Linked DNA regions of Ovis aries. The protein of the gene in region 4 purifies or fractionates together with the protein of the main gene of each other region. This does not show direct contact. Links are inferred from orthologs where the notes say so. Each region holds a gene or a part of one and is shown on either strand. Other genes may lie near its edges. The genes, in order: sororin, SMC3, SMC1A, PDS5A and WAPL.

What was found.
Region 1: the proteins of PDS5A (region 4) and sororin purify together in Homo sapiens (affinity purification with mass spectrometry; 4 studies listed by BioGRID and IntAct, with this or other methods). This does not show direct contact. The link is inferred for Ovis aries from reciprocal best matches to the Homo sapiens genes PDS5A and CDCA5.
Region 2: the proteins of PDS5A (region 4) and SMC3 purify together in Homo sapiens (affinity purification with western blotting; 8 studies listed by BioGRID and IntAct, with this or other methods). This does not show direct contact. The link is inferred for Ovis aries from reciprocal best matches to the Homo sapiens genes PDS5A and SMC3.
Region 3: the proteins of PDS5A (region 4) and SMC1A purify together in Homo sapiens (co-immunoprecipitation; 8 studies listed by BioGRID and IntAct, with this or other methods). This does not show direct contact. The link is inferred for Ovis aries from reciprocal best matches to the Homo sapiens genes PDS5A and SMC1A.
Region 5: the proteins of PDS5A (region 4) and WAPL purify together in Homo sapiens (affinity purification with mass spectrometry; 6 studies listed by BioGRID and IntAct, with this or other methods). This does not show direct contact. The link is inferred for Ovis aries from reciprocal best matches to the Homo sapiens genes PDS5A and WAPL.

The regions. Positions count from the first base shown.
Region 1 is NC_056074.1:39,729,922-39,734,959, forward strand, and holds the end of sororin, read right to left. Parts: intron 2,786-5,038; coding exon 2,604-2,785; intron 2,485-2,603; coding exon 2,406-2,484; coding exon of another isoform or gene 2,371-2,405; exon of another isoform or gene 2,168-2,370; 3' UTR 2,069-2,167; downstream 1-2,068. UniProt on the Homo sapiens protein: Regulator of sister chromatid cohesion in mitosis stabilizing cohesin complex association with chromatin. May antagonize the action of WAPL which stimulates cohesin dissociation from chromatin.
Region 2 is NC_056075.1:30,647,660-30,653,923, forward strand, and holds the start of SMC3 (structural maintenance of chromosomes protein 3), read left to right. Parts: upstream 1-2,476; 5' UTR 2,477-2,600; coding exon 2,601-2,615; intron 2,616-3,613; coding exon 3,614-3,689; intron 3,690-6,264. UniProt on the Homo sapiens protein: Central component of cohesin, a complex required for chromosome cohesion during the cell cycle. The cohesin complex may form a large proteinaceous ring within which sister chromatids can be trapped.
Region 3 is NC_056080.1:51,280,441-51,286,163, reverse strand, and holds part of SMC1A (structural maintenance of chromosomes protein 1A), read left to right. Parts: intron 1-362; coding exon 363-621; intron 622-703; coding exon 704-844; intron 845-2,766; coding exon 2,767-2,849; intron 2,850-3,003; coding exon 3,004-3,211; intron 3,212-4,375; coding exon 4,376-4,561; intron 4,562-4,654; coding exon 4,655-4,834; intron 4,835-4,933; coding exon 4,934-5,080; intron 5,081-5,179; coding exon 5,180-5,317; intron 5,318-5,723. UniProt on the Homo sapiens protein: Involved in chromosome cohesion during cell cycle and in DNA repair. Central component of cohesin complex. The cohesin complex is required for the cohesion of sister chromatids after DNA replication.
Region 4 is NC_056059.1:59,633,859-59,639,581, forward strand, and holds part of PDS5A (sister chromatid cohesion protein PDS5 homolog A), read right to left. Parts: intron 2,481-5,723; coding exon 2,348-2,480; intron 1,787-2,347; coding exon 1,667-1,786; intron 1,491-1,666; coding exon of another isoform or gene 1,420-1,490; intron 1-1,419. UniProt on the Homo sapiens protein: Probable regulator of sister chromatid cohesion in mitosis which may stabilize cohesin complex association with chromatin. May couple sister chromatid cohesion during mitosis to DNA replication.
Region 5 is NC_056078.1:40,191,021-40,196,743, reverse strand, and holds part of WAPL (wings apart-like protein homolog), read left to right. Parts: intron 1-821; coding exon 822-1,029; intron 1,030-2,096; coding exon 2,097-2,185; intron 2,186-5,659; coding exon 5,660-5,723. UniProt on the Homo sapiens protein: Regulator of sister chromatid cohesion in mitosis which negatively regulates cohesin association with chromatin. Involved in both sister chromatid cohesion during interphase and sister-chromatid resolution during early stages of mitosis.

The DNA.
Region 1 (5,038 bases), on a different chromosome or scaffold from region 4:
GTGGAATCTATGACTCAGGACAGGAAGACCATCATTGGTGAAGGGGAGCAGGTCTCAAGGCGGGGCCCCAGGAGACCCTGGTTGGAGGTGGGAGTGGGAATTCAAATTCCAGCAGCATTTCCAGGCCTGAAGTATGGGGCCCCTTTGGGGAGCTCTCACTCCCCGCTCCCCGATGACTTGACTGACAAAAGAGGAGACTCATCCAAGGCCACAGGGTAGAAAGTGGCTCTTCCTGCCCCTCCCTAATCTGCCCTTTGGAGTTAGACCTGGGGCTTCCAGCCTCCCAAGGAGAGGGTGTGGCCCCTTCCAGTCCCACCCCAGTGCTTATCACAGGATTGCTGATCTTGAGGATGATAACAGCCAGATCTGGAGCCTCCTCTGGGGTGGGGGCAGCTCAGGGCCCAGGGAGGTGGAGGATGTTGGAGGAGGGCCTACTTGGAGCTGGTGGCCTCCTCTCCACCCGGTTCCCAGGGCCCACACACAGGCAGGGGGAGCCATGGCTCAGATTCGGTAAAGTTTACTGCAGGGAGCTGAGAGGAACAGCCAGGGGGCTCCCCAAGGAGATGTGCTGTCTCCAGCCTTGGCTCAGCTAGGGCCTAGGGCTGACATGTGTTTCTGCTGTTGAGGGCAGGGTCAGGCTGCAGGATGACCAGTCCTGCCATCTGGGAGCTGGGTTGCTGCAGACAGTGGGGAACCGGTTGAGTGGCGCTGGGCAAACTGGTCCTCTCACCCCACCCAGAGCTGGGTGTTCCTGGTACCTGGAACAGCGCCCCCTCCTAGACGGCCTGGGCTCCTTCCTGGATGGTCTTACTCTCCTCCTGGAAGGCCTCTCCTTCCTCCTGGACGGCCTTCTCTCCCTCCAGGATGGCCCTTGCTTCCTCTTTCAGGCTTTTATACAAGGAGTCAGGCTGGAACAAAGGGTTGCAGGGGCCAGAGGTGGGTAGATGGCGCCAGGCAGGACGGCCTGCCAGGGGCCTGCCCAAGAGCAGGGCTAGGAGGCGGGGAGAAGGCACCACAAAGGAGGTGGGTCCTGGGTTGAGGTCTCACCAGGTCTCGCAGCTTCTCCCCCAGAGCCAGATTGTCGGCTTGGATAGTGCTGAGCGACTCCCGAAGCCTAGGGTTGAAAGGGAGACCTGCACCCTCAGCCCCCAGACTTGTCTTAGGCAACCCCCAACCCCACGGCACACAGCTCTTGCATGAGCTCCTGATCTGGCATAGCCACAAGCCCAGGGTTTCACCAGGAGCCCAGTCTGGTTCTGGCAAAGCCACAGGCAGGGAGGGAATTCGTCTCCCCTTGTGACTGGCAGCAGGGGACCTAGAGGGAGATGAATCCTGCTTCTCTTCTTTAGCAAGGGGAGATCCGACTGCTGCCTTGCACGTACTGGCCCGGGAACCCTCTAAAGGAGCCTTGGGCTAGCCGCCCACCCCTCTGGTCTGCAGTGGGGGCTGTGGCAGGGTTCTGCATGGTCTCTGTGTGGAATTAGCCTGGCCCAAGCTCCTTGGCCAGATGTAGACGAATATGTGTCAACCACTCAGATCCATGGCTGTGGGAATCTCCTGCAGCCTTGGGGAATGACTGTCACACTCCTCCCACCCCAAGACCTCTGTCTCCATGGAGTTTGGACCCTGGCATTGCCACTGGTAGACAAGTGGTCATGGGACTGTGCAGACCTAAGCTCCAGAGCCTGACATCCAGAGAACTGACCACCCCCATCCCCTTTCTCCACAGACCAAAATACCCCTCAAGTTTTGGACAGTTAAAGATGGTGGCCCCTTGCAGGCAATGTCATAGACTGCCTGCTAATCGGGCACATGGGCACATTGATGGGAAAGGGCTGTGGCCCCCACTCCTCTGGGAAAGGACATACAAGGCCACTGATGCTTGAGAGGGAAGGGACCTACTGGCTAGTAAGGAGGTCACCCAGAGCAGAACAGAGAGCAGGGAAGGGAAGGAGGGAAGGAAGAGGGCCCAGTCAAGGTGCCAACTTACATCAAGCCACAGGCCCTGCACTCTATTCTGGGAAACCCTGTCACCCTCCCCGTCCCCACCTGCCCCTGTCCGGCTCACCTCAGGCACACATTTTGCAAATGGCTCATTTCCTTTGAGGTCCGCTGCGGGCCCCAGTCTTCCTTATCCAGGAACTGGGACTCCTGGATGTCCAAGTCCCTGGGTGGGTGCACAGGGAGGATTGGACCCGAGGCTGGAGGCTGGAGGGTGGGGTGAGCAGAGGGGAAACCCAGCCCAAGGCCCAGGCTTCTTCAGTCCTGTCTAGGCCACCCCCACACACAAGCCCCAGGGCTGAGTCCTGGCCCAGATCTGAATGTTGATGGCGGAGAAGCACCCTCCGGCCCCTCCCCTCTCACATGGCCTTACTCTGCAGGGTCGCTGGCGGGCTCGGTTGCGGTCAGGAGGGTAAACAGGAAAGTGGCACTGGCTTCCTGCTCCTGGCCCAGCTGCTGCTCTGAAGAATCTGAAAAAGACGGCTTTGGCAGAGAGGGTGCCCTGGTGACTGAAGCGGCATGAGGCTGGCTGGCCGCCCGAGAACTGGGGTCCTCCCACACCCGACAGTAAGAGGATGGGCGCAGTGGCTAGGGGTTCAGACCTTCCTCCAGGGAGGAGAAGAATTTCTCCAGCCCCCGCCCCGCCCACAGCCTCAGGAGGTCCTGTCACCTCTGAGTCTGGCTCCCCAGAGATCTGAGTGTCTTCTGGCTTCTGCTCCCCAGCAGGTGGCGGCGCTGGCTTCTCCTCGGGCTCCGAGTGGGCTGTTTGTCCATCCCAGGGACACTGAGGGAGATGGTAACTCAGTTGGTGAGCCACCCCCACCATCCCGCTGGTCTCCCCTTCCCAGCCTCCCCTGCTTTTCTTGGGGCGATCTCCAGCCTTGAGAACCACCACCACCAGCTCTGACCTCAAAGTTAGGGTTGCCAGATTTAGTATGTAAAATATAGGACACCCAGTGAAATTTGACTTCAGAATAAATGGTCATTTTTTTCAAGCGTATCTCAAACATTTCACAAGCCACACTCATACTTTAAAAAGGGTTTGTTTTTCTTTTGAAATTCAAATTTCACTGGTGTGTCTTGTATTTTATCTGGCAACCCTACCAAAGCTATACGGTAATGGTATCTTGTCAACTGAATTCTTGCAAATACAAGGCGTCCCTGGTAACTTTGCTTTGGAAACTAGGCCTAAAGAAACATCTCCAAAAGAAAGAAAAATAATTCACACAGAGGTCCACAGTAGCCGACTGACAGCCAGAAGAAAAATTGAAACCTGCCTGAAGGGCCCAAATACAAGGAAAGGGAAGTAAGCAATGACTTATGATTGTGATAGAACACAATCCACTCTGAAGTTCATGGTCTTTGGTAAACACTGGTCCACCAAACTCTGTCCTTGAGCCAAGTGTTATGCTGGATACTGAGACCACACAGATAGATGATTGTGACCAAGTTTTGCCCAGAAGCCCCCAGAGATGGGGGGCGGGGGTGGCCTAGGCTCTCAGACCCACTGGGCACGGACATGTGCCATCCAGAAGCCTGTAAAGAAAGCCTTGACTGAGAGGGCCACTTGGCTTAGGAGCTCCAGAAAGACTCCACCAGCGGTTGCTGCTTGGTCTACGAGTGGGGTGTCTTGGCCAGAGAAGGAAGGGCAATCCAAAAGAGGAAGTGGCTTGGGCAGGATGGTGCCAACGGACATGACACATTCAGGCGTGGGGTGCTCCCACTGAGAGCCGGGGTGAGCAGGCCCGGGCTGTGGCCCCCAGGGGATAAGGAAGAGTTGAAGTAGGAGATAGATGGGCCCCTGGGCCAGAGACCTGCTGTTTGTCAGGTGGAATAAAACTGAAGCTTTGCCCTCAGCCAGGTGAGATGCCCCGTTTCCTTCCTCCATTGATATGGAGGGAATGAAGTAATGCTGGGGAATTTGTTGCAGCAAAAATAGAAATGAGACTTTTCTGATAACTTAGAAAAATAAGGAAACAATGAACAGGCTGGGGAAACAGCACAAACTGAAATAGTTAAGCAATCTTGGGTATTCTTTAGGGTTACTGCTAACAAACAACTTGTAGTTGGACTTGTCCTTCACAAAGCTAAACAAAGGAAATTACTCTCTGACTTCACAAGAATTCCACTCTGCACCCGGCTCTCTTCTCCCCCTACACTCTTTCGTAGCATGCTTCATTTCAGAAAGAAGGTCACGGGCCGATAACCAGAGACCAACCCCAGTTACCATCTGCCTGATGCCAGCTGTGGCTGTTTTGAGGTTTTTTTTTTTAATCTATTTTTCTTTTAAAATTTTACATATTTATTTTGCCTGTGCTGGGTCTTCATTGCTGCACGCAGTCCTTCTCTAGTTGTGGCCGCCAGGGGCTAGTGTTTGCTGCAGTACTTGGGGCTTCTCATTGTGGTGGCTTTTCTCGTTGCAGAGCAGAGGCTCTAGGAGCACAGGTTTAGCTGCTCCGCGGCATGTGGGATCTGCTCTGCTTCCCGGACCAGGGATCAAACTTGAGTCCCCTGCATTGGCGGGTGGGACCATCTGGGAAGTCCCTGTTTTGAAATCTTGCAAAAGGGAAAAAAAAAAAACAAAAACTGCAAGATTTTCATTAGGATGTAAAACCTCTGTCTTTCCTGGGGGCACAGTTCTTGAGGTGCTGGCCTGCCGTTTGCGTTTTGCCTGGCAAAGAATAAAGCTATTCTTCCTTTTTTCCTCCAGATTCTGTCTCCGTATTTCTAGTCAGCATCAGTGAACCGGGAGCCAAGATTTTAGCGTCAGCGTGGGAGATCTTTGGGTGTTTGTGTTGTCTGAGCCGTGGCTGAGCAGATGGATGGGAGGAGAGCCTGGGGGCAGAAGCCCAGGGCCTTGAGGGTGAAGGAGAGAGACATTCACGATTGCCGCCTGTGACAAGTGTCTACTCTGAGTTGTACCTTGGAAGGTGAGCACGAGGCGCTGTCAGGCCACAAACGCAGGCCTCACATGGTCTGCATATGCTATGCACCAATGCACCACACAGGGTTGCCAAATAGAATACAGGATGCCTGG
Region 2 (6,264 bases), on a different chromosome or scaffold from region 4:
TGTGCACAGCTTTCATGCTTTTCTCTCCAGCTGCAGAGGGTGGTGGTGTGGGTGGCGGGGGGAAGTTGCTACTCTTTCTTGCACTATGAGGGCTTCTCATTGTGGTGGCTTCTTTTGTTGAGAAGCACAGGCCCTAGAGTGTGCAGGGTTCAGTAGCTATGGCTTGCAGGCTCTAAAGTACAGGCTCAGTAGTTGTGGCATACGGGCTTAATTGCTCCAGGGCACATGGGATCTTCCCAGACCAGAAATGGAACTGGTGTCCCTTGCATTGGCAGACAGATTCTTAATCACTGGACCACCAGGGAAGTCCCTGCACAAAAGTTTTCATAGAGTATAAATTATGTTTCTTTCATCGCTTGTGCTTTTAGTGTCATGTTTAAGAAACCATTGCCTGATTTATAGTCACAAAGATTTACTCCTACATTATCATCTACGATTTTCTATTTTTAGCCCTTACATTTAAGGAGTCTATGGTTACAGCTAAGACCACCTTGTTCCTAGGAGTGAAATAGGCAGCCAGTTGTGGTAGAGGTTCATTTACATACTATATTAGATTAGGTTTAGGTGAGTGGAGGCTGATGTCAGTCACCACAGCAGAAAAATCACAACCTTTCACCCAGTTTATAGACTTTAGCCAGATCCCACACCACAGCCCATAAACCGAACAGAAGGCTGGGTCCTGAGCAAGGTGTATTCCTCCTGCAAATATATTCAGTATATTTATTCCTCCAATCTGACCCTGAAAGTTATCAGAGTAACTGACCCATCGGAGAAAGGGAGCAGTTAGATTTTTGAGTGTTACTGAATCCAGGCAGGACCCTGGGGGCCCTGCCTCATACCAAAAACCTGTGTCTCCCATTTCTTGTTTGTAAGAAAAAGGCTTCAGCCTCCTAGATTTTCCCTGGATTCCAAAGGGGATACTCAAAGTTACTAACTAGGGGAGTGAAGGAATGTAGAAAGAAATTAAAAGGAGGCAAGAAACAATAGAGCAGTGATGGGGAGGGGTCCTGGTTCTTTTTCAAGGTACACACACTACAATCTGGTACACATCTCTTGAGTTCTTCTACAGGCACTAAGTCCCCCAGGCAGATCAAGAACGGTAAATGAAGGCTGAGCGCAAGCATGTGGACCCCCGACTGGCTGGAACAAGAGGGCTAATTGAGAGTCCTGGAATATCACCGTTACTATACCAGGTCACACACCTCTGCAGCCCTTCCTCCAAAATTTGCTTATCAAAACTCTTCCCAGAAAACCATTGGGTAGTTTGTGCTTTTTGAACATAAGCTGCCCCATTCTCCTCGCAATGAATCTTTCTCTGCTCCAAACTAAAACTTTTCAGTTTGTTTGGTCTCATCACGGAAGTAATACTCAAAGTCGCAAAAACCAGCGACTTCCATCTCTTCTCCTAAGGGCCGGTTTGACTTTCCTAAAAGTGGTATGTTTTCCCTGAAGTGCTCTTTTTCTTTCCCTTGCCTCCTCTAATAAGTCATTTGTTTTCCCTGAAGTGTCCCTGTCCTCTTCATCTATTAAAAAGGTACATACATAAAGTCTTCTTCCAGCACCAAGAGGCGTTGACAGGGACGAAGTTAGTCATTTGAAATAGCTCAATGTAGAAATAATCAGCGCTAGAACTGTCCGCCGTAGCGGGACGGGTGGCGAGGACCGACCAACTTGAGTGCTGAGTGGCAGGTAATTTTACAGCGGCCCAGAGATCCGAGTTTTTCTCCTGCGATTGGTGCAGATCAGATACGCCCAGGGTTGCCACTAGCACCTCCAAGCTTTTAGGCTGTTAGGAAAAAAAGGGGGGGAGGGGTTTTAATCTTAAATAAATCTTTGCGTTCCAGTTGTCCAATCTGCCTAGATTTATACCAATTGGCAGAGCAGTAACAGCTCTGGGATATTAATAACTATGACATTATTAAAATTAATTTTCTAGCGTCAAGTCCCTTTGGGGCTGTCCTGAGAGTGGGGAGTCCAGAGTCAGCGGGGGCCATTCTAAGTTACACAAGAGAGAGAATAATAGAGGACCAGGGGTTCTGCCCCCCGAGTTTCCCCCCAGGTCGTGTACACTACAGGTTCGGGCAGCCGCGCCGCCCGCCCCAGCTCGGTATTTCCAAACAGCGCGAGACCACGGGGCCGTCAACTCGCACGGCTACTGGCGCTTGGACACCCTCTCTCAGCTTTGGCGCCGAACCTTTCGCCACCTTGTGGCCGCAACCATTGGCTGCCCGCTCGGAGGGTATACAGGTCAATCTCACGACCAAGGCTTTTCCGAATGAAGTTTCCGACTACTTCTCAGGGAAAATTCATTGAAAAATTGAGGAGTCACATGAAATTCAGCTAGCGACATCGCAGAAGGCTCTTTTGCTAAAAATACAGAGCAGATCTGACTCTGATTCCCCCCACGTTCCGAGGGAAGCTGCGAGGGTGGTTCCGTCCGAGGCGGGGACTCCGCCTCCATGGGCGCCGCCATTTTGTTTGGCTCGAGGGGTGCAAGCGGCGCCTTGGGGGGTGGGGTCGTTTAGGCGCCTCACCTAACCCCGCTGCCGAGTTGTTGCTGCTCGCCGGGAGCCCTTCTCGCCGGCCAGGGGCACGGAACCATGTACATAAAGCAGGTGAGGCCTGTGCGTCCCTCCCGCCCCTCAGGGGCTCGTGAGGACAGCTCCTGTCGGGGGTGTTGCTTCTTGCAGGGTGGCGCGGGGCTGGACAGGGACTGTGGGGGAGGGGCGCAGCTCGGGGCGCCCCTTTGCAGCCCGAGCCGCCCCTTTGCAGCCCGAGCCTCTCCGCAGGGCGCTTGTCTGAGGGAGGCGGGCTCTAGCGGAGAGAGCTGGAGGGGCTGGCGACGTGGGCCTTTTGGAGGGAACCGGGCCCTCCCGGGTGGACGAGAAGCAGCTTGGTCCTGTGGGGCTAGGCAGCCCCCTCGCGAGCCTTTTGCGTGGCGTGTGTGAAGAGAGGGTGTCCCCGGCCTCGGGACGCCTGTGGGGTCCAAGCTGGGTGTCAGCTTAGCCAGGGGCCTCGCTCCTCCCCGAGTTACCGGAGACGTGAAAGGGTCCCTCCTTCCTGCAGAATGTGTAGCGCCTCCTCATTCCGTTGTTTACTTTCTGTCAAAATGGTCTTCCCGCGCTGGAGGCCACCCCGAAAATGAGCCCATTCACACTCGTTAAGAGAAGTTTCTCGGCTGGATGTGTTGGACTCGGAGCAGTCCTGTCCTGGATGGGCGGCTCTTTTTTGGTCAGAGTGTGACTGAAAGGGGCGCCCAGGACCGCTGAGCCCCCCTGCATACTTGATAAGACTTTTATCCGGCCCTCTGATGGTTAGTGTTCCAGCCAGCCTTACCCAGTGTATTTGATTTTGAGCGCTCCCTAACAGGTTACTAATTATAACTTCTCTTAAGCAACACTGGTAGTGGTTACTGATATACGGGCAGTTTTAAGAAGATTTTTAAATCATTTTCCAAGATAAATTTTTCTTCTCTGACATGGGAATTTTTCTATTTGGCATTAAATGGGAAACCAGAAAGGGAAGGAGGGCAAAAGGAAAATACTAGCTTAGAGGTTATTTCTTTTGGGGCATGTTATTTCTTTCTGAAAAAAATCTCTCTTCTGTTTGTTAGGTTATTATCCAGGGTTTTCGAAGTTATAGAGATCAAACAATTGTAGACCCGTTCAGTTCAAAACATAATGTTATTGGTAAGTGTTCATGGTTCACTCTTGTCAGTTTTCTGTCTACATAGTCGTTTAAATTTGCCTACATTAGGCTTAAGGAGACAGGAATTGTCTTAATATTACATAAATTTGTATTTTTTTTTCTGTGTGAATACTTTTATCTGCACTGATGAAATTGCTTCCTTTTTACGTTTAAAAATACTTGGATAAGACAGAGTATTCATTTTTATTTGGTAGCCTTGTGTGTATGTGTTTTAATAGATTTAAGTTTATAGTGAATGGCACTAAATTTAGCATTTCAGCTATTCTTGGTATGTCATTTCCTACTTTAAAAGTGGTCACTATTGCCTTATTTCAAAGATGACCATTCTTTATTCACAAATTAGGTTGTTCTAAGACATTTTTTTTTCCCCATTATAATGTCCAAGGACAGACCATGCAGCTTGATAGGAAAAGCATAAACTTTGGATCATGGCAGAATGGGATTCAAATCCCAGTTCTGCTATGTATTCTTCAGACTTCCTGATGCTTCAGTTTTCTCACTTGGAAAGTGGAAATAATGATACATGTTTCTTAGGGCTGTTGGGAACATTAAATGAGAAAGCAATAATGTGAGGATAAGGGGGCTAATGGTGATTGTCCTTCAATATAATAATTAATATATAGGTTCTACAGATGATAGTGATACAGACAGCAGGTGTTTTCTGACCATCTGCTGAGTTTTTAAAGAACAGATTAAATGAGTGCTTCTAGACACCAGAAAGGAGAAGGCAATGGCACCCCACTCCAGTACTCTTGCCTGGAAAATCCCATGGGGTCGCTAAGATTCCGACACGACTGAGTGACTTCACTTTGACTTTTCACTTTCATGCATTGGAGAAGGAAATGGCAACCCATTCCAGTATTCTTGCCTGGAGAATCCCAGGGACAGGGGAGCCTGGTGGGCTGCCGTCTATGGGGTCTCACAGAGTCGGACATGCCTGAAGCGACTTAGCAGCAGCAGCAGCAGACACCAGAAAAGTATAGAATCGCTATCAACATAGATTTCAGCCCTACAGTGTCCTAGTTGGCTTGGTCTGCCACAACAAAATGTCATAGACTAGATGGCTTAAACAACAGGGATTTATTTTTTCACTGCTCTGGAGAACCTTTGTTTGAACCTCTCCCTCTTGAAAGAGCAGTCCTACCATAAAGGCCTCACTCCTAACCTCATGTAAATTACCTCCCAAAGACCCCTTATCTCCAAAAAGCTTCACATAGTAGGGTTAGGGCTTTAACATATGAATTAGGGGTCAGGGAGAGTATGTACCATGGAGTCCATAGCTTGAGGTAAGATTCATACTGTTGACTAAAAAAAATGCATGAGTTGGGAATTAAGTTTTATTTGGGGCAAAATGAGGACTGCAGCCCAGGAGATAAGCACCTCAGATAACTCTGTGAGACTGCTCCAAAGAGACAGTGGGGGAAGGTCAGTCTCTTAAGATTTTGGTGAAGGGGAAGTTCAGTGCATTCAAGCCTTTTGGTGGTTATTCAGTCGCTAAATTGTGTCTGACTCTTTGTGACCCCATGGAGTGCAGCATGCCAGCCTTCCCTGTCCTTTACCATCTCCTGGAATTTGCTCCGACTCCTGTCCATCGAGTTGGTGATGCGATCCAACCATCTCATTTCTGTCACCCCCTTCTCCTCCTGCCTTCAATCTTTCCCGGCATCAGGGTCTTTTCTAATAAGTTGGCCGTTCTCATCAGGTGGCCAAAGTATTGGAGCTTCAGCTTCAACATCAGTCCTTACAGTAAGTATTCAGAATTGATTTTCTTTAGGATTGACTGGTTTGATCTCCTTGCAGTACAAGGGACTCCCAAGAGTCTTCTCCATCACCACAGTTCAAAAGCATCAATTCTTGGTGCTCAGCCTTCTTTATGGTCCAACTCTCACATCCATACACGACTACTGGAAAAACCATAGCTTTGACTAGGCAGACCTTTGTAGGCAAAGTAATGTCTGCTTTTAATATGCTGTCTAGGTTAGTCATAGCTTTTCTTCCAAGAAGAAAGCGTCTTTTAATTTCATGGCTGCAGTCACCATCTGCAGTGATTTTGGAGCCCTGAAAAATAAAGTCTCACTGTTTCCATTGTTTCCCCATCTATTTGCCATGAAAAGATGGGACCGGATGCCATGGTCGTCGTTTTTTGAATGTTGAGTATTAAGCCAGCTTTTTCACTCTCCTCTTTCACCTTCAGCAAGAGGCTCTTCAGTTCTTCTTCGCTTTCTGCCATAAGGGTGGTATATCATCTGCATATCTGAGGTGATTGATATTTCTCCCGGCAATCTTGATTCCAGCCTATGCTTCATCCAGCCCATGCTTCATCCAGCCCAGCATTTCTCATGATGTACTCTGCATATAAGTTAAATAAGCAGGGTGAAAATATACAGCCTTGATGCACTCCTTTCCCTATTTTGAACCAGTCCATTGTTCCATGTTGAGTTCTAACTGTTCTAACAGGTTTCTCTGGAGGCAGGTAAGGTGGTCTGGTAGTCTCATCTCTTGAAGAATTTTCCACAGTTTGTCGTGATGCACACAGTCAAAGGCTTTAGCGTAGTC
Region 3 (5,723 bases), on a different chromosome or scaffold from region 4:
CCATTCGTGACTAATAGTCCCTTCCTTGAAGAGGAAAACTGGAGCTTCAAGGTCAAAGAACAGAAATTTGAAAAGGTTAGATCAGATGGGGAACAGTTATGTGAACACAGGGTACTCTTGGGAGTTGTTACCGAGAGGTCTGGCCTGGCTAAGGTTGAGGCAGGGGTGGTAGCTTTACCTTCTAGAGTGGCTGGAATGCCAGGCTGAAGCCATCACAGGATCTGTGGGGCATCGGCCCTGTTCTTTTAGGCACTTCCCTGAGGCTTGGAAGGGAAGCGCCTAATCCCCCTTTGGATTAAAAAGCCTTGGAACCCTCCCTTCTCCCACTGAGCTAATTGGTTCCCCCTCCCCTCTGGTGAAAGGGAGAAGGACTCAGAGCTGAACCAGAAGCGGCCTCAGTACATCAAGGCCAAGGAAAATACTTCCCACAAAATCAAGAAGCTGGAAGCAGCCAAAAAGTCGCTACAGAATGCTCAGAAGCATTATAAGAAGCGTAAAGGTGACATGGATGAGCTGGAAAAGGAGATGCTGTCAGTGGAGAAAGCTCGGCAGGAGTTTGAGGAACGGATGGAAGAGGAAAGTCAGAGTCAGGGCAGAGATTTGACCTTGGAGGAGAATCAGGTAAGCTCTGAGGGGTGCGGGGATGGGCAAATAGATTGCGAGGCTGACAGGACTGATTTGGTTGCCCCTGTCCCTGACACAGGTGAAGAAATATCACCGGTTGAAAGAAGAAGCCAGCAAGAGAGCAGCTACCCTGGCCCAGGAGCTGGAGAAGTTTAATCGAGACCAGAAGGCTGACCAGGACCGGCTGGATCTGGAAGAACGGAAGAAAGTAGAGACAGAGGTGGGCATGCCTTACAAGATTAGGGGTGATGGTCCAGAGAAAAGGAAGTAACAGTAGTCTTAACAGTAATGACCATAGTTAACATCTAGCATGGGGCTTCTCTGGTGGCTCAGTGGTAAAGAATCTGCCTGCCAATGCAGGAGACACAGGTTTGGTCCCTGGGAACATTCTCCTGGAGAAGGAAATGGCAACCCATTCTAGTATTCTTGCCTGGGAAATTCCATGGACAGAGGAGCCTGGCGGGCTACAGTCCATGGGATCTCAAAAGAGTTGGACATAGCGACTAAACAACAAAAGGCAAGCTCTTACTGTGTGCTAGGCACTGTTTTTACATATATGCAGTCATCTTTTAAAATATTTATTTATTTGTCTGTTTTGTTTTTGGCTGTCCTGGTTTTTAGTTGCTGCTTGCAGGCTTTCTCTAGTTGCAGTGCTCAGACTTCTCATTGCAGTGGCTTCTCTTTTTGTGGCGCACAGGCTCTCGGGCCCACGGGCTTCAATAACTGTGGCTCTTGGGCTCCAGAAAGCTGGCTCAGTAGTTGTGGAACATAGGCTTACTTGCTCTGCAGCATGTGGGATCTTCTGGACCAGGGATCAAACCTCTGTCCCCTGCATTGGCAGGTGAATTCTTAACCATGGGACTACCAGGGAGGTCCCTGCCTAAGGTTATTAACTGGCAGAACTGGGATATGAACCTGGGCAGTGTAGCCCACACTTTTTTGGTTTTTTTTTGGCTGCACCTTGTGGCATGTGGAATCTTAGTTCTCTGACCAGGGGTTGAATCTGCACCCCCTGCAGTAGAAGGATAGAGTCCTAGCCACTGGACCACCAGGGAAGTCCCGGAAGCCCACACTTTCAAGTATATTTCACTTACCACCTTCCTAATAACAATCATAGTAAAATAATAGGAATGATGGAAAGTTGTTATAATATTCCAAGAGCCTACAATGTTCCAGGCATTGTGGTGCTGCTGCTGCTGCTGCTGCTAAGTCACTTCAGTCATGTCCGACTGTGTGCGGCCCCATAGACAGCAGCCCACAAGGCTCCACCGTCCCTGGGATTCTCCAGGCAAGAATACTGAAGTGGGTTGCCATTTCCTTCTCCAATGCATGAAAGTGAAAAGTGAAAGTGAAGTCATTCAGTCGTGTCCAACTCTTAGCGACCCCATGGACTGCAGCCCACCAGGCTCCTCCGTCCATGGGATTTTCCAGGCAAGAGTGCTGGAGTGGGTTGCCATTGCCTTCTCCGGGCGTTGTGCTAAGCAGTTTTAAATGTTTAAAAGAAGGTATTAGGCATTAATTAATAGCTAGGGGCTTCCCAGGTATGCTAGTAGTAAAGAATCCACCTGCCAATTCAGGAGATAAGCGTTCAATCCCTGGGTCGGAAAGATCCTCTGGAGTAGGAAATGGCAACGCATTCCAGTATTCTTGCCTGGCAAATTCCATGAACAGGAGCCTGGTACACTAGAGTCCATGGGGCCGCAAAGAGTAGGACATGACTGAGCAATTGAGTGCACACACACACAGAATTAGTGGCTAATACATGTTAAGCACTTAATGTGTATTCTATGAAGTGGAAGTTACCTGCATTTTATAGATGATAAAGCAGAAGTGCAGAAAGGCCCAGAAAGCTTTACTTTGTCTTGGTTTGAGCCTGCCTGCTTGGTGAGGAAGATGTTCCAGGCTGGGTAGAACACCTATGAGAGGGTCTCATAGGGCCCATGGTGGCCCCATCAGTTAGCAGAGGCACACTGAACACTGTTTATATCCGATTTTTAATAGGCCTCTTATACTAGTGACAGATTGTCTGTGATTGTTAGGCTGTTAGAATGATTAGGCATATGGGGGATGAGCCAGGACTCTATGGTCTTGGCCTTAACTTGCTCAGCCTATGGTGATGTAGTGTTTTTGTCTCTCTCCCAGGCCAAGATCAAGCAAAAGCTGCGGGAGATTGAAGAGAATCAGAAACGGATTGAGAAACTAGAGGAATACATCACAACCAGCAAGTATGTGGCTTTGTAACATTCCCTCTTATCTCCAGGCCTGTTCTTGTGAACCCTACCTGTCCTGCCCCTCCCCAGGAAGGACCCTCATCATCCCTCTCGGCCAGGAATATTTTCTGGCCAGCCAGGGTAACCCCAGTATTTCCTCACTTTGTAGGCAGTCTCTAGAGGAGCAGAAGAAACTAGAGGGGGAGCTGACAGAGGAGGTGGAGATGGCCAAGCGGCGTATTGATGAGATTAATAAGGAGCTGAACCAGGTAATGGAGCAGCTGGGGGATGCCCGCATCGACCGCCAAGAGAGCAGCCGCCAACAGCGAAAGGCAGAAATTATGGAAAGCATCAAGCGCCTGTACCCTGGTTCTGTGGTAAGAGTCGAAAGGGAATTCATTTCCTGACCACTGTCTTTCATACTCACTGTCAGATAATTTTCCCAGCAGCCCCATGAGGACAGATTGCTAATTCCATTTTTACACCTGGGGAAAACAGGGTCAGAGAGGTTGAATGACTTGCTCAAAACAGCATAGCTTATATGTATAAGAACTGCAATTCAAATCCAACTTGTTCTTACTCTTAACCTTGTGTTCTTTTCATTGCACCAGTTGTATCTTTCTGAAAGTTTTGTCTTGCTTGTGTCCACTCCTTTATGGGAGGTGGAGAAAGTGAAGAGGCCTTTGGGAAAGGGAAGGGGCTGCAGGGCAGGAATTAGTTCCCAGGATGTATCAGTAGCTTTGTGCAGGCTTCAGTGTGAGCTCCTTAAGCATATAACAGTCAGCTCATTTACTAGGTTCTTTTGGCCTCTTGAATGAAATCCTGAGTTTCCAGATTCCCTGAATATTATCCCTCTATTGCTGTAATTCCATCCCTGGGTTCAACTTAATTGGGTTCTACAAATATTTCTTGATCATTTCCGTAGATCAGGGGTCCCCAACCTCCAGGATCTAATGCCTGATGATCTGAGGTGGAGCTGATGTAATAATAATAGAAATAAAATGCACAATAAATGTAATGTGGGATGATTCAAGCGCGTTGCATTTATTGTGCTCTTTATTTGTGGAACCAAATTAAGTTGCATAATGCCTGTGGTGCCAGTGGTCTATGAAATGGTAAAAGTGAGGTTTAGAAAGATGATTCTGGATTCAGACATGACTGCCTGAAGTTGTTGTTGCTTTGGGGCCAGTGAAGTGAAGTCGCTCAGTCATGTCCGACTCTTTGCGACCCCATGGACTGTAGCCTACCAGGCTCCTCTGTCCATGGGATTTTCCAGGCAATAGTCCTGGAGTGAATTGCCATTTCCTTCTCCAGGGGATCTTCCCAACCCAGGGATCAAACCCGGGTCTCCCTCTTTGTAGACAGACGCTTTACCATCTGAGCCACCAGGGAAGTCCAGAGTAGGCCTTTTCCCCATAGTTTGGGAGCTGTGCTCCTGATAGAGATTCTGACCTGCTATCCCCCTTCTAAGCTAGGAGTTAGGGTTCCTGAGCCAGCTCTCAAAAACTTCATGCTTCATTCACTCTTCTGACTTTCCTTAGTACGGCCGCCTCATTGACCTCTGCCAGCCCACACAAAAGAAGTATCAGATTGCAGTAACCAAGGTTTTGGGCAAGAACATGGATGCTATAATTGTGGACTCAGAGAAGACAGGCCGGGACTGCATTCAGTATATCAAGGAGCAGCGTGGGGAGCCTGAAACCTTCTTGCCTCTTGATTACCTGGAGGTGAGGCTGGTGGTGATGGGGTCAGGGCAGTGTGAGAGGGCTGCTCCTCCTAGCCCTCCATGTTCAGCCACTTAACTAAGCTTTTTCTCATAGGTAAAACCTACAGATGAGAAACTCCGGGAGCTGAAGGGGGCAAAGCTGGTGATTGATGTGATTCGCTATGAGCCACCTCACATCAAAAAGGCCCTGCAGTATGCTTGTGGCAATGCCCTTGTCTGTGACAATGTGGAGGATGCCCGCCGCATTGCCTTTGGAGGCCACCAGCGCCACAAGGTATGGATTCCCTTGCCACATTGTAGCTGGATAGGCTTAGTATTGGCGATTCCTTTGTTCAGCTTCTCTCCCCTCCTCTCTTTTCCCTGCTGTATTTAGACAGTGGCACTGGATGGGACCCTGTTCCAGAAGTCAGGGGTGATCTCTGGCGGGGCCAGTGACCTGAAGGCCAAGGCCCGACGCTGGGATGAGAAAGCAGTAGACAAGTTGAAAGAGAAAAAGGAGCGGTTGACAGAAGAGCTGAAGGTAAGCCACAGGCAGGGCTGTCCCTAGGAATGGGAGTCCTAAGCCCAGGCCAGCCGGCCACCTTCTTACCACCTAGCCTTTCCCTCTTGTCCACTTCAGGAGCAGATGAAGGCAAAGCGAAAAGAGGCAGAACTACGTCAGGTGCAGTCTCAGGCCCACGGACTGCAGATGCGGCTCAAGTACTCACAGAGTGACCTAGAACAGACCAAGACACGGCATCTGGCCCTTAATCTGCAGGTGGGACCTGGCTTTCAGCCCTGTTGGGCCATGGCCAATGGCCATCCTCATATTCCTGCTCTACGCTCAGTTCTAGGGGTGGGGAAGTTGTCCCTCTTCCCTCTTTCCTCCCAGTCTGTTCCTGGAAACCAGGAATAGATGGCATTGAGTTAGACAGTCAGGGGTTTAGGACTTGGCTCTATATTAGGCAAGTTACTAAACCTCTCAATGTTCAAATCCTTTGATCATTTTTATATTGGTTTGTAAGAGTTTTTTGAAAAATATATTCCAGAAATGTCTTTTTCAAATGCATGTATTGCAGATACTCAAAGAACATTCTTGTTTTTGTAAACCTCTCAGTGTCCATTTTTTCATCTTAATCTGTAAATAATCTGTAGAAGGATAGGGTCCTTGCACAGATTGAATG
Region 4 (5,723 bases):
CCCTAATTTTCTTGTGTTTGAACTTACACCATATTAAAAGCAGTATATTAGAAAAGGAAATGAAGAAAGATGCTCATTGAAAATGGAAACTCTAAAGTATTATTATGAAGGCTAAAAACATTCTAAGCTTCATATCAAAACAAAATCAATTAGAATAAGATATAGTAACAAACAGCAACTTAAATTCTTGATGACAGGACTACTACTGTATGTAAATTCTATATAGGTACTATTCTAGTCATAATAGCCCTGGGTCAGCAATAAAGTAAATTTAAATTCAAGAGCTCATGTAGGAGTATTTATAAAGACCAGTAAATTCAATTAGAAGGCAAGTAACTTTGCAATCTTTATTATTCCTATTAAAACCAGGCATAAATTCTGAGTACTAGATTAAAGAAAACTGGATACAAATTTTTGTTGAAATTTTTAAATGCCATATTTTTTCCATTAAAAATATTAATTTTTTTTAAAAAAACAAACAACAGCAAAGTTAAAACTTCAAAATATCACCTTAAAGTGGATAATAAATACAATGCAATCTGTTAAAAAAAAAAGTCTTAAAATCCAAATTAGCTGGAAAAATTTAAAGAGCTATTAGTTCACTGAAAAATTTACTTACATGGAAAACTTCATTTGTTGCTAGCAGAATAAATGTACTATGTACTATTAATAATATAATTATTATTGTTCAGTCGCTAAGTAAGGTCCTACTCTTTTGCAGCCCCATGGACTGCCTGCTAGGCTCCTCTGTGCATGAGATTTCCCAGGCAAGAATATTGAACTGGGTTGCTATTTCCTTCTCCAGGAGGGCTTCCCAATGCAGGGATAGAACCCACGTCTCCTGCATTGGCAGGTGGATTCGTTACCACTGAGCCACCTGGGAAGCCCCATTATTAACGATACCACTTACTAACGCTTCATTTTGACTAACGTCTATAGACCTAGGCATATTAATAATAGATAACAGGTATTATCATCACTTGCATTTTAGAGATGAAGAAAATGAAGCTTAGAAGAGTTAACTTGAGTGTGTGTTCAGTGGTTTAGCTGTGTCTGACTCTCTGTGACCCCACAGACTGTAGCCAGGCTCCTCTGTCCATGGGATTTTCCCAGCAAGAATACTGGAGTGGGTTGCCATTTCCTCCTGCAGGGGATCTTCCTGACCCAGGCATCAAACCCGTATCTCCTGCATCGCAGGCAGATCCTTTACCACTGAGCCACTGGTGAAGCCTGTTAACTTCAAATCCAGGTCTGTCAATTGCCAAGACCAATTCCATTCATACTGACACTTTATTTCATATATAGATGTATATAATTTATACTCTACCAAACATTTTTATTTCTTGTCTGAAAAAATACTAACAGTGTTTTAATAGGATGAGATGAAAACAATTTAAGAAATTTGAAAATTCCTCTTACATATTAGAAATATCCAGAAGGAATAGCTCACATAGGAACACCACCACCAAGCTTGATTTGTATTCTCTACTCTGTAAGGTGAGAATGATATTTTTCAGGCTTTGGAAGACAGTCTCCCCTTTCTTGATAAACTCACAGAGGTATATATTTTTTACTTTGTAGTCAAGACAGTCTAGTATTTGCCACCAGGATGACAGTAACAAATTTAAGTGAGTTCAGTTTGGTAGAAAAATGAGAAGAAAGTTACCTTTTCAGGTTGTGTAAAAAATTTCACTGGCAGGACTGGATCCTTTGGTGACTCTGCATTGCACAAAGCACTTTTACTATTTATCACGCACAGGGCCACATCACACACTGTATAAAGTTTCTAGGGAGGAAACAAATCACGTAACTTTCAGGAGTGCAAAACAAGCACAGGTACCAATTCTACCCAGTATGTAACATGGAATCGACACAGTAATATGGGGCTATTGTTTACTCCTTGAACACTCTGCATGTTGTCTCTGGCACTTCTTCTGATGTAGACTCCTAGTAACAAGGACAAAAAAGTCCCCTTCGTTTTACTTTAACATGAATGCCAAGTATGCATTAAAAACAACAAACCAAACCAAAGGAAACATACAAGAAGACTATCTACGGGTCTGTAACACTTACTTACTAGTTCTTAAGACAGCATAGTTATAAATTTCACTAGTTCTTATCCCCATGCTCTGTACATATTTTAATATCTTTTTCAGAGTAATAAACATTCTTCAAAAATAGACTTCAATGTAATGAAAGAAAAAGTACATATATTTATAAACTATAAGTATATATTTTAATAAGCATTCTCTAATCTATTATACAATAGGAAAAACAAGTGGGACAAGGGTCACATTACTTTTTCCCTGTAATTTCTTAATAGTCACTGGCCTAATATATATCTTACTTCATTTGTCTTGGATTCATCTGGAGACTGGGCATCTTTTGTTAGCTTGATATTCTCTGCCATCTTTTTCATAAAGGCATGGCTATTATTTTCATTTTTTGTCATTAAAACTTCAAGCATGAACCAGAGGCACCTAAATGAAACATATTCACTTAGTAAAGAGACTAATTGCAGGTTCTTTCGCTGAGTGGATTAAATAATTTACTGGGAAGTTCTGTTGTTCGAGTATACAAAGAGTAAAACGCTAATGATTAATAAAATATTCAATTAAAATAGGATATAACATCACAAATAACAAACATGAACATATAGCTTAATATGAGAAAGCCTCACAGTTTCATGAGGCATACACGTGAAGAGTCATTCTATAGGTATTTAATAAACATTTAGATAATATACTGTGTATTAATATCTAGCAATCATGAGCAAACCAGCATACAGCATAGTCTTGCCATTTTGACCATTTGTAAGCTATTTATCCTGTGATCTAGGGCTCGTATGTAATTCTACTGTGACATAACTCTGAATTTCATGTGTTATGAGACTGGTGTGCATATAACCAGTAACTCAGCGAAACAGTCACATTTCAAGTCATTTTTCTGTTTTCCGCTTGTTATAGTTATTTAATTCATAAAGTGTCTGGTGACACCTGAATTTCTAAGTAAAAGTGAATCCCAAATTGGGATGAAGATTAGAATCATCTGAGGAACTTACATTGCCAAATCTAGAATCAAAATCTGTTATTAAGTTCCCATGATGATTTTTTAGGCAACCACCATGGACTTACTGTTTTACTCCATCGAGAGGAGAAAAAAATCACTTGAAGATAATCTGTGTGTACTTCTTTGCCTATAGTGTATATATATATATATATATATATATATATATATATATATATATATATATATGTTTTAAGAGACTACTGTAAAGGAAAATTTAGCACTAAGTTAATGGAGTTTGCTTTTAGTAGACCTGTCTTGCAATAAATATTAAACTCAGTCCTTCAGGCAGAAATGAAAGAACACTAAACAGTCACTTGAAACCATAAGAAATAAAAAAAACCCACTGGTAAAGGTAACATAGCTAAAACATAAGGCCAGCATTACTGAGCTTCTGATTTGTAACTCCTTTTTAAATATATGATTTAAAAAGCAAATGCAGGGAATTCCCTGGTGGCTCAATGGTAAAGAATCTGCCTGTCAATGAAGGAGACGAGGGTTTGATTTCTGATCCAGGAAGATCCTATATGCTGCAGAGCAACTAAGTCCTTGTGTCCCAGTTGTTGAGCCTGTGTGCCAGAGCCCAGGAACCACAACTATTGAGCCCATGTGCTGCGACTACTGAAGCCCATGGCCTCAGAGCCTGTGCTCCGCAAAGAGAAGGCACCACCGTAAGAAACCTGAGCACTGCAATCAGAGAGCAGACCCCACTCTCTACAACTAGAGAAAAGCCTGCCAGCAACAAAGACCCAGCACAGCCAAAAATAAAGAAATAAACCACATGCATGAAAATAATCACATATATGTGAAAGGAAACAACATATAAAAATATAATTTGTATCAATTACAATATAAAGGCAATGAAATAGAGATGTATAAGAGCAGAGAAGGATGTGGCAACCCACTCCAGTACTCTTGCCCAGAAAATCCGATGGATGGAGGAGCCTGGTATGCTATATAGTCCATGGGGTTGCAAAGACTTGGACACAATGGAGCAATTTCACATTTCACAAGAGCAGAGTATCTCTACACTAGTGAAACTAAGTTGCTATTATTGAAAATAGGTTGTTACAATTTTAAGCTGTTAAGAGTAATTATTAAGAAAATAACTAAAAAATATATCCAAAAGAATAAAAAAAGTTTCCTACAAAAAACAACTACAGCTGACCCTTGAATAACACAGGAGTTAAGGGTGCTGACCCTTCACACAGTAATTTGCATTTAACTTAGTCTTGGCCCACTGTATAATTGGTTCCTCTGTATATGAAGTTTGTCTGTATCTGTGGGTCCACCAGCTGTGGATCTTGAAGCACTATAGTATTTATTATTGAAAAAAATCTGCATGTAAGTGAACCTGCACAGTTCAAACCTATTCATACTGTAAAGTTCAACTGTAAATACAAAAATGAGAGGCAGTAATGGAGCAATTAAATAACAAAAAATATATAAGACACAGAAAAAACTAATAGTTATGTGGCAGAAGTAACTTCTTCCTTATCTCCCAATTAAAAAGCAGAGAAGCAGAGTAGATTAAGGGAGAAAAAAGATCCATATATATCTTGTCTACAAGAGACTCATTTCAGATACAAAAACACAAAGTAATTGAAAGTTAAAGGATGGGGAGAAAATACATTTCATACAAACAGTAACCAGAAGAGAGCTGGTAGCTATTTTATAATTAGACAAACTGGATTGCAAAAGACCGAGAAGGACTATTGAAGAGGATATGACTATTATAAACACAAACCTTACAACAGAGCCCCAAAACCTATGAAGCAAAAGTTGACAGAAGGGAGAAACACATATTCCACAATAAGATTTCAATACCTTATTTTAAATAATGGATTGAAAAAACAGAGAGGAGATCAAAGAGAAAATGGAGAACTTGAATAGCACTATAAACCACTCAGATGTATGAGACATAGATGGAATACTCCAACTAACAGCAGCAGAACACACAGTTTCCTCAGGTGAACTTGGAATATTCTCTAGGACAGACCGTAAGTCTTAATAGGCCTCGACAGCAAGCTGCAAGTCTTAAAACATATCTTTTCTGACCAGAACAGCATGAAACTAAAAGTCAGTAACAGAAGGAAAACAGGGAAAATTGGAAAACTCACACATATATGGAAATTAAACCACACTTTTTTTTTGGGGGGCCATGTAGCTTGCAAAATCTTAGTTCCCTGACCAGGGACTGAACCTGGGCCCTTTGCTATTAAGGCGTGGATCCTGACCACTAGATGGTCAGGGAATTCCCAAACCACCCTCTTAAAACAATCAATGGGTCAAAGAAGAAATCACAAAAAGAATTAGAAAATACCTTAAGACAAATAAAAACACAACATACCATACTTACAGGATTCAGCACTGGTAGTGCTGAAAGGGAAATTTAAATCTAATAATACCCTATATTAAAAAGTCTTACTGAATAATCTAACCGTATACTTTACGAAACTGTACACCTTAACTAGAAAAAGAAGTTAACACTTCAAACTACATAGTAACTTGAAATGTTTAAAGATATTCAAAAGCACTGCACACTACGTAGAATCAAAAAGTATGTGCCAGTGATTTCAGTTCTAACTCGAATGACTTCAGTGCTCTTCCCACACCATTACTGCCTCTCTTAGGTCTAACCTTTTTCCACATGATGG
Region 5 (5,723 bases), on a different chromosome or scaffold from region 4:
TTTCTGCTGCACAGCAAAGTGACTCAGCTATACATATGCATTCTTCTTCATATTCTTTTCCCTTATGGCTTATCCCATCACAGTGAATTTAGTTCCCTGTGCTGTGGAGTAGGACCTTGTATCCATCCATTCTGTATGTAATAGTTTGCACCTGTTAACCCCAAACTCCTAGTCCTTCCCTCTCCCATCCCCCTCCCTGTAGGCAACAAGTCTGTATATCAGTGTCATCTTTGCACAGGGACCATGCTAATATTCTCTGTTATATGTGTTGCTGAAGCAAGCACTATACTTTTATTGTTAATATAGCAGTTGAGATTTAGTTCTGCCTTTCTCTGAGAACTTGTTTTCTACTTTCTTTGTTTTTTATTTCTTTAAATTTCTTTTAAAGAAGCCATTTGTTTTCCCCAAATATTGTGAAACTTTATCCAGTGTCCTCTCTTCCTTCCAGTTAATTTATCCAGGCTGCTTGGATTTAAAGAATTTTTAACTGTTTTAATTTTAACTTTTAATTTGTAATTTTTGCTTGAACTTCCTGCCCGTTATTATCCAAATTAAAGGAAAGTGTTGAGATTTTCATTCTTAAAAATAGAATGCATGCATCATCAGTAGATAATTTACTTAATTGAATCCCAGCAGCATTTATAGTTTTGTTTTGTCTTCAGTTGGATGTAGAGCTAGGGCTTTTACTGATGTGTAGCCTTTTTACCAGACAGTATGCTTCTTAGGGTTAATGATGTTTAAAAGCAAATGGAGCCTTATATTTGGGTACATTGATGTTGGTAGGTGATCCCTTTTTAATGACCTTCAAAAATGTTTATCAGCTGTTCCTTGAGCGAGAACGAGCAGCACAGTTGGCAGAAAGTAAAACAGATGAATTGATCAAAGATGCGCCCACCACTCAGCATGATAAGAGTGGAGAGTGGCAAGAAACAAGTGGAGAAATACAGTGGGTATCAACCGAGAAGACTGATGGTGCAGAAGAGAAAAACAAGAAGGAGGAGGATGATGAAGAACTCGACCTCAATAAAGGTATGTTTTCTTTGACTGCTTTATTTTTTAAAAGATGTGTGTGTGTGTTTTTTCCCCTGTAAAACATTTTTTTACTTCATGTGTGGTCATAATCTTGCTGTTTTATGGCCTCTCTGGTTGAGTGCACACAGGCTTTGCTGTTTGGTAGCAGTCTTCACCTAGCGGTGAGAGTGGCGTGTATGTACTGTTGGAAGGTCTGTGTTTCCTCCCTGGGCCTCTCTTTACTGTCTGTGAAGAGAAGCAACCAAGTAACATGACTCCTAAGGGTGTTTACAGTTTTGATATTTTGCCCATATTTTAAATTGGGTTATCTTTTGTTGTTATTGAGTAGAATTTTTAGAGCCTCGATTCTTATCAAGTACCTGGTTTGCAGATAAATTCTATGAGTTGTCTTCTTGAAGGTGAAGCTTTAGATTTGATAAAGTCTAACTTACCTATTTTTTATATTGTCTTTTGTGGTCCTGGTGGTGTGTCTAAGAAACCATTTCCTAACCCAAGGGCACAAATATTTAGTCCTCTGTTTTCTTCTAAGGGTTTTATGGTTTTAGCTTTTATATTAAGCTCCCTCTACCATTTGTGGGTTTTGTTTTTGTTTTTGTTTTTTTTTTTGGTTAATTTGTGTGGATATTACATCTTCCTAGCACCATTATCCAGAGAAAGCGATGGCACCCAACTCCAGTATTCTTTCTTGGAAAATCCCATGGGCGGAGGAGCCTGGTAGGCTGTAGTCCATGGGGTTGCAAAGAGTCGGACACGACTGAGCGACTTCACTTTCACTTTTCACTTTCATGCATTGGAGAAGGAAATGGAAACTCACTCCAGTGTTCTTGCCTAGAGAATCCCAGGGATGGGGGAGCCTAGTGGGCTCCCGTCTATGGGGTCGCACAGAGTCGGACATGACTGAAGTGACTTAGCAGCAGCAGCAGCAGCAGCACCATTATCAACGTTTAGCAGTTTTGAAGTAAAGATGACACAGTTGCTGGTTTCCTAGGTGCTTTTGTTGTTGTAGTTTTTGGTTTATATATATATGCACATGCACTATTAGTTTTCTGTTTTAATACTTTCAGCCCTTCAACATGCTGGCAAACACATGGAGGATTGCATTGTGGCCTCATACACCGCACTGCTTCTTGGGTGTCTCTGCCAGGAGAGTCCAGTAAGTAAGAGTTCTGTGTTGTTTTATGTTATCCTATAAGAATTTCACTGCAGCCACTTCACATCGTTACTTAATTAACTTGTTACTTTATTTTTCCCTCCTGTTAAAAACTTTCAAATATTTGGTGAACTTTAGAAGGTACATTTCAAAGTAAGAGTATATTGGTTTCGATGAGAAAGTTCCAGATTGATAGAGGAATCAACTTATATGTCTTTGGTTGAAGTAAAAGCACCATATGAGACCTGTGCTCAGCTGGCTTAAGGTGGAAAAGGTTCGCCTCAGTGATACCAAGGACTCATAATTTCTACCTTTAAACTCTGCTCTCCTCTGCGTGTTGTCTTTTGCTAGCTTTCTTCATGCACCTATGCTGACTCTGTGTCTCACCTAGTTAAATAGTGCCCAGCAGAAGAATGTGGCCTGTTTGTTTCTCTTTGTTTAAAGAGCAATGATTTCTTTTCCCTAGGACTTTTCCACACCCAATGCAGAAAGTCGACTTCCTTTACCTTGGCCAAGATTGGCTCACATGCTTTTGTTTGATGACTCATTGGCCAGGAAAATGGGATTACTATGTGAGATTTAGATCATGAGTTAACTATGAAAAATCATGGCTCTCCCTGGTGGCTCAGAGGGTATACTGTCTGCCTGCAATGCAGGAGACCTGGGTTCGATCCCTGGGTTGGGAAGATCCCCTGGAGAAAGAAATGGCAACCCATTCCAGTATCCTTGCCTAGAGAAACCCATGGACAGAGGAGCCTGGTGGGCTACAGTCCATAGGGTCACAAAGAGTTGGACACGACTGAGCGACTTCACTTTCACTTTACGAAAAGGATGTGAATGTGTACACAGTTGGGCTGAATCAGCACAGAAGTGGACATTTCTCACTGTTTGAACAGTCTGCTTTAAAATGGAGGACACGTGGGATTTTTTTAAATTTATTTTTTTAACAGAGAGGCCCAGTAGAAGAGAGAAATTTTAAAATAAAAGAGAGGTGGGTTTTTTCCCCCTACAAGCAAGGGCATTCAGGATGCAAGAAAGAATGGAGACCTGTTGTATAGTGGGATGGCTAGTTTCTCTTTTCTTAAGACTAGAGGGCTAGAAGAAAAGAACGTAATCATGATATGAAGGGCTTCTGTCTGCCCACCCACATTTCCTCATTTTTGCCATCAAGTTTTATCCATTGTCATTTTTGTTCTTCCTGTGTACCTTATTTGTCTTAAGTCCAGTGTGTTTTTCTGGATCTTTCTTGTTCATTTATTCCATATTGTAGAAAGGCTCTGAGCTGAGTGCATACTGGCCCACTTCGTTGCTGGCCCTTGCTGGCACAACTGCTTTCAGGATCAAGACCAGAGTTCTTACCATGGTGCTAGAGGCCCCACAAATCTTTATTTCCTTTCCTGGACTGTCTTCAAGCTCAGCCCTTGTCCTTATTTCCTTAAAATTCAGAGATTTTAAGGGCAAATGGGAAGCACATACCAAGCAAAAAGGAGGAGGAAAGCACACCCCACCCCCACCCCCCAAAAAAGAGTGGGTATGCTATTTAAAGATTTTTACATATTTTGCATACACCCTGGTTTCAGTTGTGTTCTTAAGTAATCTGAAAATTGAGTTTTTTTCAGATGTGAATTATTTGTCTCTCATGTCTCGAGAGGTTAGGTTGTAGACAATACTGTGAATTTATAGAGCCCAGGATGTCTTTCTTACCTTAGGGGTCATTATGATTAACCCTGAAAAGCTAGCTGATGCCACAAAATGTAAAAGACATTGGTTTGCCCAGTGTTTAAGTGGAGGAAAGACGAGAATCAGGTGGTTATGTGCAGTAAGGGCTGTTCTAAGGTAAAGCACAGCATGCCTAGGAAGCCCAGGAGACCCTGGTGTCACTTTCCATTGCCCGGTAGGCATCTGGTGTGTTTTAATGGTCAGTCTTCTCTGTGGCCTTTCTGTTCTTGCTTTTCTCAACTCTCCTTTCCTGAAATCCTGCATACCACCACCATAGCTAACTTCCTTAAGAGCACATCTGATCATGTTAACCCTCCAACCCGCCAGTCTTTCTTGACTCACTGTCATTTAGGAAATGATAGCTTTGTTTACTGCTATAAGACTCCAAACTTAACTGCTTCTCCAGTATTTTATTTTACTGAAGCATAGTTGATCTAGTATTAGAGTCTGTCACACCCCTTGGTTGCGTTTCTAAATTTCTGAAGTAGGCCATGCCGCTTCACACCTTTTCTTACCTCCTGTACACTACCATTTATTGCACACTTTTAAAGTAAATGCTCTGACTCTCCTTCCCATGCCTTGGCTACTTACTGTGTTGTACTCGTAATTTGTTGATAGAAAAGGATTTGATTTGGGTTGTTGAGAAGCTTTCACTTGAAACCTAGGATCTAATTCTTTACTCTGAATGAGAGAGGCACCCTTTTTTGTTGAGCCATCTTCATAGCCAGCATCCAGTCTTCCCACCACCGTGCTACCCTGCCCCTCTCTGTGCAGTTGGTTAGGGTGCATTTAAACCCAGCTTTGCATTACCTCTGCAGCTAGCTGTTGCCCTCACGATGTGCCACTCAATATAGCCTCAGTGTGTGTTCAAAATACAGCATTGAAAGATGGCAAAATCCCTCAGGATTGGAGCTGCAAGCTTTTACTGAGTAGCTGTAAAAGTGGGAGAGAGGGGATTGGTTGCAAATTTCCTAAGAGGATAATATGTACTCTTCCATGTCTTCATCAACAAATACGAAATCAAAAGCATCCCTCTTCCCGTCTTTTTTTTCTTTTTGTATGTGCTTTTTATTATAGGTGAGCCTCCTTAGAAGAGCTTTTCCTTTTATTCTTTATGAATCTTTAAAGCATTTTAAATACGTATTGAAATAAAACAACATTTTAAGCAGGCCATGTGTTTTTCTTACCATAAACTGGTTTATATACAGTTTGGCTGCTTCTTGCTAATAACGGAGGGAAACATCCTAATCTTCTGTCCTGACATTGCGTACATTTTTTTTCTATAGATGATACTAGATTTCCTTTGGAAAGATACAGTTAATTCCTAGCCTACATGAAGAATTTTCCTTGATCTTTTTCTTTACATTCCTTATCAGCTTTATGGATACTTTCTCAGTCTGCATTTCCTTGCTATTCTTATCCCTGCTCGTTCTGCCCCACCCCCTACAGTACATTTTGTTATTTCAGGCATTTTTCTGTGCATTTACAAAAGTAAATATGCACATAAATGTTTCTTTGTAGTCTTTGGCAGCTTTATCTTTTTCCTTTCTTTCTGAGGATGGGATAGGGTGGGGTAGAGAATGGACTCACAGGTCACAAAAGTTAGAGTGTGGAAAAGGAAATTGCATATTAACCAGGGAGTTTAAGGACCTTGTATAAGTTTGAAACAGGATGTGTGCCAAAACCAACTACACAGTGCAAGGTTCAGACTCCTGTGTTCTGCCACCTGACCAGTGCTCCTTTGGTTTGTTTCCTTAGATCAATGTGACCACTGTGCGGGAGTATCTGCCAGAAGGGGACTTTTCAATAATGACAGAGATGC